2 linked regions of the Macaca mulatta genome follow. The protein of the gene in region 2 purifies or fractionates together with the protein of the main gene of each other region. This does not show direct contact. Links are inferred from orthologs where the notes say so. Each region holds a gene or a part of one and is shown on either strand. Other genes may lie near its edges.

What was found. Proteins that work in one complex are often made in the same cells at the same time.
Region 1: the proteins of IGF1R (region 2) and ARRB1 purify together in Homo sapiens (affinity purification with western blotting; 3 studies listed by BioGRID and IntAct, with this or other methods). This does not show direct contact. The link is inferred for Macaca mulatta from reciprocal best matches to the Homo sapiens genes IGF1R and ARRB1.

What each region holds. Positions count from the first base shown.
Region 1 is NC_133419.1:75,743,720-75,747,991, forward strand, and holds the start of ARRB1 (beta-arrestin-1), read right to left. Parts: upstream 2,804-4,272; 5' UTR 2,566-2,803; coding exon of another isoform or gene 2,546-2,565; exon of another isoform or gene 2,515-2,545; intron 1-2,514. UniProt on the Homo sapiens protein: Functions in regulating agonist-mediated G-protein coupled receptor (GPCR) signaling by mediating both receptor desensitization and resensitization processes.
Region 2 is NC_133412.1:89,200,279-89,203,837, forward strand, and holds part of IGF1R (insulin-like growth factor 1 receptor precursor), read left to right. Parts: intron 1-3,255; coding exon 3,256-3,559. UniProt on the Homo sapiens protein: Receptor tyrosine kinase which mediates actions of insulin-like growth factor 1 (IGF1). Binds IGF1 with high affinity and IGF2 and insulin (INS) with a lower affinity. The activated IGF1R is involved in cell growth and survival control.

The DNA.
Region 1 (4,272 bases), on a different chromosome or scaffold from region 2:
CCTCCTCTAAGTCATAGATAAAGTAGAATCTCATGGCTTACGGAAAAAGACAAGGTACAGCCCATTACCGATTTTGCCCTTCTTTTCCAAATTACTTAGCAAACTGTCTGGAAAGGGACAGAAAGCCCTCATGGGGCTGCAGGAGAGTCTGAGGGGGAGGTCAGGGCCACTATCAGGTGGATTTAGCTGGGCCTTGGCTCCAGGCTTCAGGCAGTGCCTCTTCCCCTGCCCAGTGAAGTCAGTAAGTACAAGAGAAGCCTTAAAATGTTAAGTATTGATAGCTCCAGTTTACAGATGGGAAACTAAGGTCCGGAAAAGTAAAGGCAATTGCCCAGTGTCCCAACGGTCCAGCAGTGAGTTCAAGGCAGGGCAGGGGGAGTCATGGAAAATATCTTGGCCTCAGAGACAGGGTCTCCAACAGGTGCCTGGAAGCCCATGGTGTCCACATCTTCCTGACAATCATGTCAGCAGGACAGCAATGACACTTATCCCCCAAGTCACAGAGAGGTACAGAGAGACCCAAGAGAGGCTGAGTTACCCCAATCACAAGGCAGCCTAGGAAGGACAGGAGGAGTGGAGAATGGCTCCAACTCCCTGCTATACCCTGCAGGAAGAAAAGCCTGACCTCATGGGTCAAGATGGATGTGGCTGGGGAGGGAGTCACATACCTTCCTACTGAGGACAGAGGCCTAGGTCACAGTGCTGGCCAGCCAGCTGCAATGGGGACTAGCCATCAAGATGCATGCAGACACAGCATGATCTTCTGCTGTCTCCCCCAAAGCCTGGGCCTCCAGCACAGAGCAGGGCACCCCTCCCTGGCCCATGTGGGGCCTGGTAGTGCCCTAGGGCCATCCACAGAGACATGACCAAGTGGACTCCAGCCTCTGCCCTGCCTCTGGCCTCTTTTGACCTTAGGCAAATCACATGACCTCTCCAGCTCTCTGGTTCCTCTGCTAGAAAACAGGAAGAGGAAAATTAACCTCCTGGAAGAGCTGTCAGGAGGATGGCTGGAAAGTAATTTCTAAACATTAAGAGCCTAAGTTGCCTCTGAGCCTCAGTTTCCTCCTCTAGAAAATAGAAATAATCTCTGGAAGCCCTTTCTCACACTGTTGAGAGAGAGTCTCAGATGGCAGTACGTGAGAAATGGCTTTGTCAGTGGCCCTGAAAGGTGGTGCCCACTGGGGTGTGTCTCTCTAGTCTGTTAGCTCCTTCAGAGGAGTGGGCCTTGCGCATCTTTGATTACCCACACTATGCCTAGTATACAGCAAGAGCTTAATAATAAATGGAACCGAGGAGAGGAGAGGGGAGGAAAGGGAGGAGGCAGAAGTCAGGCACAAGAATAGGAGAGGAGAAAGACAGAAAACAATGAGAAAGAGGGGGAGCCCAGGAAGAGGCTGCTGTGCCCACTTGGGTGGGGAGGGCAACGGGGAAAATAGGGTGGCAATGCTGAGCCCTTGACCAGGGCTGGTCCTGTCTGAAGGGCTGGTCCTGTCTGAAGGGCTGCCCCCAGGGGCTGTCCTGCTCCAGCCCCCTCCTCCTTCTGTCCCACTTTCCCCTTTCAGAGGCATAGACCGTTTCTTTCTGAGTATTTCAGGCCAGGTTCTAGAACGGGAGGGGTTCTCCCAGCCCTAGGTTCAAAACAGCCCCTGGCCAGCCACTCCTCAGGAGGTCAGAGGGAAAGGGAACAGAGTAGATGGATGCGATCTATTCGGATGGGATGGGATCTGTTTTCCCCAGGCTGGGGGCAGTGGGGAGCGTTCTACCCCGTGTGATGTGTGTTTCCACTTCTGGCCATGTGGGGCCTGGAACGTGTGTGTCAGCGGGCCTCCGGCTAGCAGCTCGTGCCTGCGGGGTGCCAGTCTTTGCAAGCATTAGTCTGATTGTGTCTGTGGGGGTCAGTGTTGGTGTGGCCTTGCGCTCCACTGTGTTGGTGAGACATGCCAGCACAAGTGTGTGTGCTAGTGAGGGTGATGTGTGTACCAGCAAGAGTGTTTGCTACAGCGAGTGCAGGTGACAGTTTGCGTATCAGTGTATGCCCACACGTGTGTGCTAGCACGAGGGTGTGTTAGAATTGGTGTGTGTTGGAGTGTGAGCTGTTCATGCCAACAAGGCTGTAAGCAAGAATGTGTTGACCGAGGCGTGTATGACGGCGTGCCACTGTGTGTGATGAGCGTGTGCCAGTGGCTGCCAGTGTGTGCGCCAGCATGCCTGTGCCACGGGTTAGTGTGCCCGTGCGTGTATTGTGTGTCAACCTGCCCCCGCGCGTTTCTGCGGCTGCCGGCCAATGCTGGGTATCAGCAAGCTGTGAGTGTGTCCGGGCCAGGAGCCGCGGCCCACATGGGGCGGCCCGGCCCTCGCCCTTTGGGTCCCCCTCGCCCACGGCCCTGCCGGGGAGACCACGCAGGAGACCTCGGGTGGAGGAGGGCTGGTACTAGATCCCGGGATGGCCGCGAACACAGAACCAGGACGCAATCGGAGCCCCCGCCCGTGCCCTCGCCGAGGTCGCCCCCACACGCCCCACGCCGGGCGACCGCCCTGCACTCACCGGGTCCCTTTGTCGCCCATGGTCCGCGACGGCCGCAGGGAGGTCCGCGGCGTCAGCACCCAGGCTGGAAAATCCCCGGCCAGCAGGAGGAGCGCGGGCCAGCCCGCTCCCGGCTCCCTGCTCCGCCTTCTCCGCTCTCCCGGCCGCCGCCGCCCCCGCCCCCGCCCCCGCCCCCGCCCCCGCCCCCGGTCCCCGCCCGCCTCCCGCCGCGCCGAGCAGCGCAGCGCCCGGGCCGCGGTCAGGGGCGTGGAACCGCGCGGGGTGTGTGTGTGTGTGCGCGCGCTCGTGCGTCTGCGTGTGCGCGCGCCGCCCAGCGAGCCGGGGCAGCGCTGCAGGACGCGTCAAGGCCCCAAGGTCGGCGTTTGTGGTGGGGGAGGGGTCCACCCGCGTGCGAGTCCGTATGAGTGAGTGTGTGTGTGTTTGTATGGTGGTGGTGGTGTGGTGTACGTGAGGGCGCACGGCTGTGTGCGGGCCCTATTGGGAGTGTATTGGTGTGGATGGAGGAGTGTGCACGTCTTTGTGCAGTTGTGCGTGTGTGCGCACGGCCGTGGGTGCGAGCGCGCTCTCCCGCGCATGCCGGGGCAGCCTTTGTGTGTGCGTGTGGTTGGAAGCCGAGGGTCTGGCGACCCCGAGGCCGCGCTCTCTGCGGCCGCTCGCCTAGCTGGAGACCCCGGGATGCCTGGCAAGGCCTTCGCCCTGTGCTCCACCCTTCCCCATTCCACCCCACCCCACCCCCTTCTACTGGAGAGATAACACCCAGTCACCCAACAGAGACAGGAAGAAGGGGTGGAGGGGGCAGTAGACGGCCTTGACACTGGGGAACTGAGCGGAGACCCGCGACCAGCAAGGGCTGCAGGAAGCCGCCCAGGAAAGGGAAGCTGCGAGAAGTGAGAAGAGGCGATAAAGGAAGAGGGCAGAGCTGGCCCGCTGATGTGACCGGGTAGCACCGTGGAAAGTGCCCATGCCTAGCTCCATGGCCACCTGTAAAGTGAGGATACACTAATATCAGCCTGCAGAATTAATAGGTTGAAAGAACTTGCTTGTTTGCTGGCCTCCCCAAGTGCCTGCATACAGTAGGTGCCCAGTAGATGTTAGCCCACTTCTCTGCAGGCTTCTTGATGTCCTGTGAAATCTTGGCTGGGACGCTGCTTTGTCTGAGGTGCCTTCCTGCTTTGCAGGTAGTGGGAAATTGTAAGGTCTTTCCCACACCCTCACTGCTGAGATTTGGCTAACTATCCCTGAAAGGTCTAAGTATTAAGGGAGGAAGCTATCATTTACTCTGATGCTGTTGTGAGTGTGTAAACATCTCCTGTAATCATGCTCAGAAGCAGTTACCTATACTGTTTATATGCAGTATCATTACTATAATTATGTCCAGATTTGGCAGAGGGGCAGGGGAAGGCTGATGGGTAGGCAGGGTGGCCCACCTCTGGGCAATGTTAGGAGCTAGAGAATATGGAGGAAGGCCCAGAACCCTCCTCCCAGTCTTGGCCTCTGGGCTTCACCCTCCACAGGGGAAGAAGAGGAAGCCACCTGTTGTTTCTGCAGGGCTCAGAGATCTGGAAAGGAGCAGACTAGAATCTTTTTGATGACAGGAGATCCCTAACCAGGATGGTGAGGCCAGGTCCTGCCACTCTCCACATCAGTTTCCCCACCTATAAAACAGGTTTGACCAAACCATATGATCTCCAATGGATCTCTCCATGCTGATGCCCAAAACATCTAAA
Region 2 (3,559 bases):
ATAGATGAGTCTGAAACAAACTTAGTGAAATCTGATGGTTTTTTGTATTTTTTCCCATTGCTGGAATCCCAGTTTGGTTCTGCGGGAATCGAGTGCTTGAGTGGGATGCAAACAGGCAGGAAGGGCGCTCCTGCTCAGTTATTCCCAGTGAGCTCACGGAGGCACACAGGCCCCATGTCCTCCTGGCTGAGGCGTGGTTCCTAAGACAACCCTCACTGTTGAGGACTGCCAGGAGAGAGACACATTCAGCCCTGCAGGTCCTCTGGGAATCCGGTGAGCGTCGGCAGCATGCGGGAATGTGCGGGTGCCTCGTGGCCTGCTGATATCCCACACAGGTCACAGCCTGTCCAGTTCAGGACATCAGGGCCAAGAGTGGAATGGGAATACAGAGGCACCTCCGTGTGCTCATCCTGCTGACCATCACCCAGCCTCCAGGGCGCACAGCTGGCCCCCAGGAGGCTGCTTCCCAGCAGGGCAGGAATTCCATTTGAGTCTTGTCCCTGTTCCAGAAGGGCCGGGTATGTGTCCCCCAAAGGGGAGAGCATTCGAGAAGGATGGCTCCAGACTTGCCAGAGCTGACCCATGGGGAAAAAAAAAAAAAGGTGCTTTTTAAAAGATGAGTTTTATCAGCTCACACATCCTTCTAGAGTCTAATGGAGATTTTTTGTATGTGTGGAAATAGTAAACAAGGTCTTGAATCCCACAGAGCAAAAAAGACTTCCTTTTTTGGGCAGCCCTGGAAGGGTTGTTACTCTGGAATGGTTTAAAAGAGGCATCACATGGCTTGTTTGTGCTGATGTCACTGCCTCGCTGCCCCTCCAGTGGCACCTCCTCAGTCCCCGGCCACAGGGCACAAAGCCAAGCACATCTCATGCTTTTGGCCCGGGTACACTTCTGCCCAGGGGCAAGTCAGCTGGAGAGGAGTTCACATCCCAGCCATATGGAGATGCATTTCATGTCATTATGGCCTATTTTAATTCTTTTTAACCCCGATCGTTTTTCTTAGGCAGTGATGGGGAGTATGGAAAGGCAGGCTTATTTGTCATCAAGCTGCCAGTTTTTATCACTGCAAAGCACATCCCTGTGACATCTGTGACTGTCCCTTGGACAGTTAAGCGAGGGAGGGTCTCCTGGTGGGCCCAGGGTTACTCTTACTTAGATTAAGAGAAAATTCCTTTTTCCGGGGTCGTTGGCAATCAAAGTGTAGTCATCCTGTTGCACAGAGAACTCCATCCCAGCTCCACCCTTATGAATTTCGTAACCTTGGACAAATTATTTAATGTCTGAGTGCTTCTGTTCCCCCGTCTGTAACATGGGTGTATATTATAGTCAGTAGCACCTGCTTCACAAACTCGTGAGGACTTCATCAGTTCACACACATAACTGCCTCACTGCCTGGCACCTAGTGTGCGCACGGCATTCTGCTGTGGGGTAGACTTAAAATGGTGGCTAAAGAGATGCTTTTCCGGAAAAGTGGCCACATGGAACTCTCCATATCTAAGAAGCATACTGTGGGGTGCTTCATATTTTGTCTAATTCCTTTACCCCCAGAACAGGAACCCGCAACCTTCCTTCTGTAAAGGGCCATATGGTAAATAAGCATTTTTAGACTTGCAGGCCACGGTCTCTGTCCTAATGTCCTCAGCTGGTAGTTGTAGCTGGAAAGCAGCTGCAGCCCACATGGAAATGAGGGAGCATGGCCCATGCCAGTGCAGCGGATGTGCAGAGGTGGGTAGCCCCGGGTTAGACCCTGTGGAGATGCAGGCCCCCAGGCTCCAGAACGCTGAATTCTAGTGGATTCTGGATGGCTCTCCCTCACACCTAGGCCCACCCTCCCTGAAGGTTGCACCGTCTCCATCTGAAGGAAGCTGCCAGGTGGCCATTAGAGCCCTTCTCTTGGCAGGCCAGCTTCCAGGCCTAGTGGCTTATCTTACATCAGGGGCCTCCCCTTGGAATTTTCCCTGAAAGCCAGAGATGGGCAGGTGGTCTGTGGTTAAGCAGCCGGCCTGACAGGAGGCTAGATGCCATTGGGTGCTTTGAGTTTCCTAGATGTGGAGAGTTCTATGTGGCCACTTTTATGGAAAAGCATCTCTTTTAGGAAGAATTTTAAAACAAAGAGGAGAGCTTCCTGGTGAGAACAGAGGTGGAAAGGAAGGCACTTTGGTTTCACGCTCACGTAAGAGGGCTGTTGGCGGTCACTCCTCAGAACTATGGCCAGCCCTGGACGGTAGCCAGCTGTACCTTTTTGCCCCAAAAGTCTGTTTACCTGGGTCTTTCTGCGTTCTGGAAGCTTGTCAAAGCCCGGGCCTTTCCTGGGTCAGGGCAGCCGGCTTTCCTTGTCCGCGTGTGGCTGACTGTTTTCGTGGGGGGCCCTGGCCACAGCTGGCAAGACTTCCTTTGTCCCATGCGACTCTGAGGGCCTCACAGATATTTGCAGCCCAGGTGCTGTCGGAGCCCAGCCAATGCGACCAAGACACAGCACAAGCGTCATCCTGTTCTGCCTGTCCTTGCTTGTGGAGTGGACTCGTGCCCAGGGCTCTCCTTGCTGGCTCATTGGAATCTGGCTTCGGGTCTACACTGGGCCTCTTGTTTGGTCCAGAACAGCCTGACTCATCAGCTGGGGCTTGCCTGTGCAGGGCTGGAGCAAGCAGGTGCTAGATGGAGACAGCAGCAGACTCGGAGTGTGTATTTCTTCGTGTTGCAAGCCTGGCCTCATGGTGCCTTCTTCCTTTGGTCCTCTGCCAGGGGTAGCCCTGCACCAGGAGGAAGCTTAGAAATAACAGGTGGGACCTGGAGAGAGAGCGTTGGGGAAGCTGCGGTCACTCATCAGCCTTCTTAGAAACCGGGGGTTTCCTGCTTTCTAATTCTGGAAAGGATGTTTCAGCAGTGGCTGCATGAGATGTCTCAGATAGAAAACTGCTTATTTTTATTTCTTAGCACTGACACCATAAATAATACCTGTAACGATGGACAGTGCGGACCTAGATTAGTGCTTCTTGGGAAAGGAGAGTTTGGGTTTTGTACTGTGGTAGTGCTGAGTGAAGTGAACGGAACCATACGAGGTAAAACAGGAGACTCTGAAGGCCACTTGGGCCATCCAGGCAGAAAGCCAGGGACGGAGAGGGACAGTAGGGTTGTATTCAGTGCTCCCACCATACGCTTATAGGTGGGAAACCACTGCAGGCGGCCCATGAAGCCTCTTGGCCACATACGCCCTCCCAGTTTGGACCCCCCTTCCATGTGTCTTGGCTGCAGGTTTGAATTGATGCGCATGTGCTGGCAGTACAACCCCAAGATGAGGCCTTCCTTCCTGGAGATCATCAGCAGCATCAAAGACGAGATGGAGCCTGGCTTCCGGGAGGTCTCCTTCTACTACAGTGAGGAGAACAAGCTGCCCGAGCCGGAGGAGCTGGACCTGGAGCCAGAGAACATGGAGAGCGTCCCCCTGGACCCCTCGGCCTCCTCGTCCTCCCTGCCACTGCCCGACAGACACTCAGGACACAAGGCCGAGAACGGCCCCGGCCCTGGAGTGCTGGTGCTCCGCGCCAGCTTCGATGAG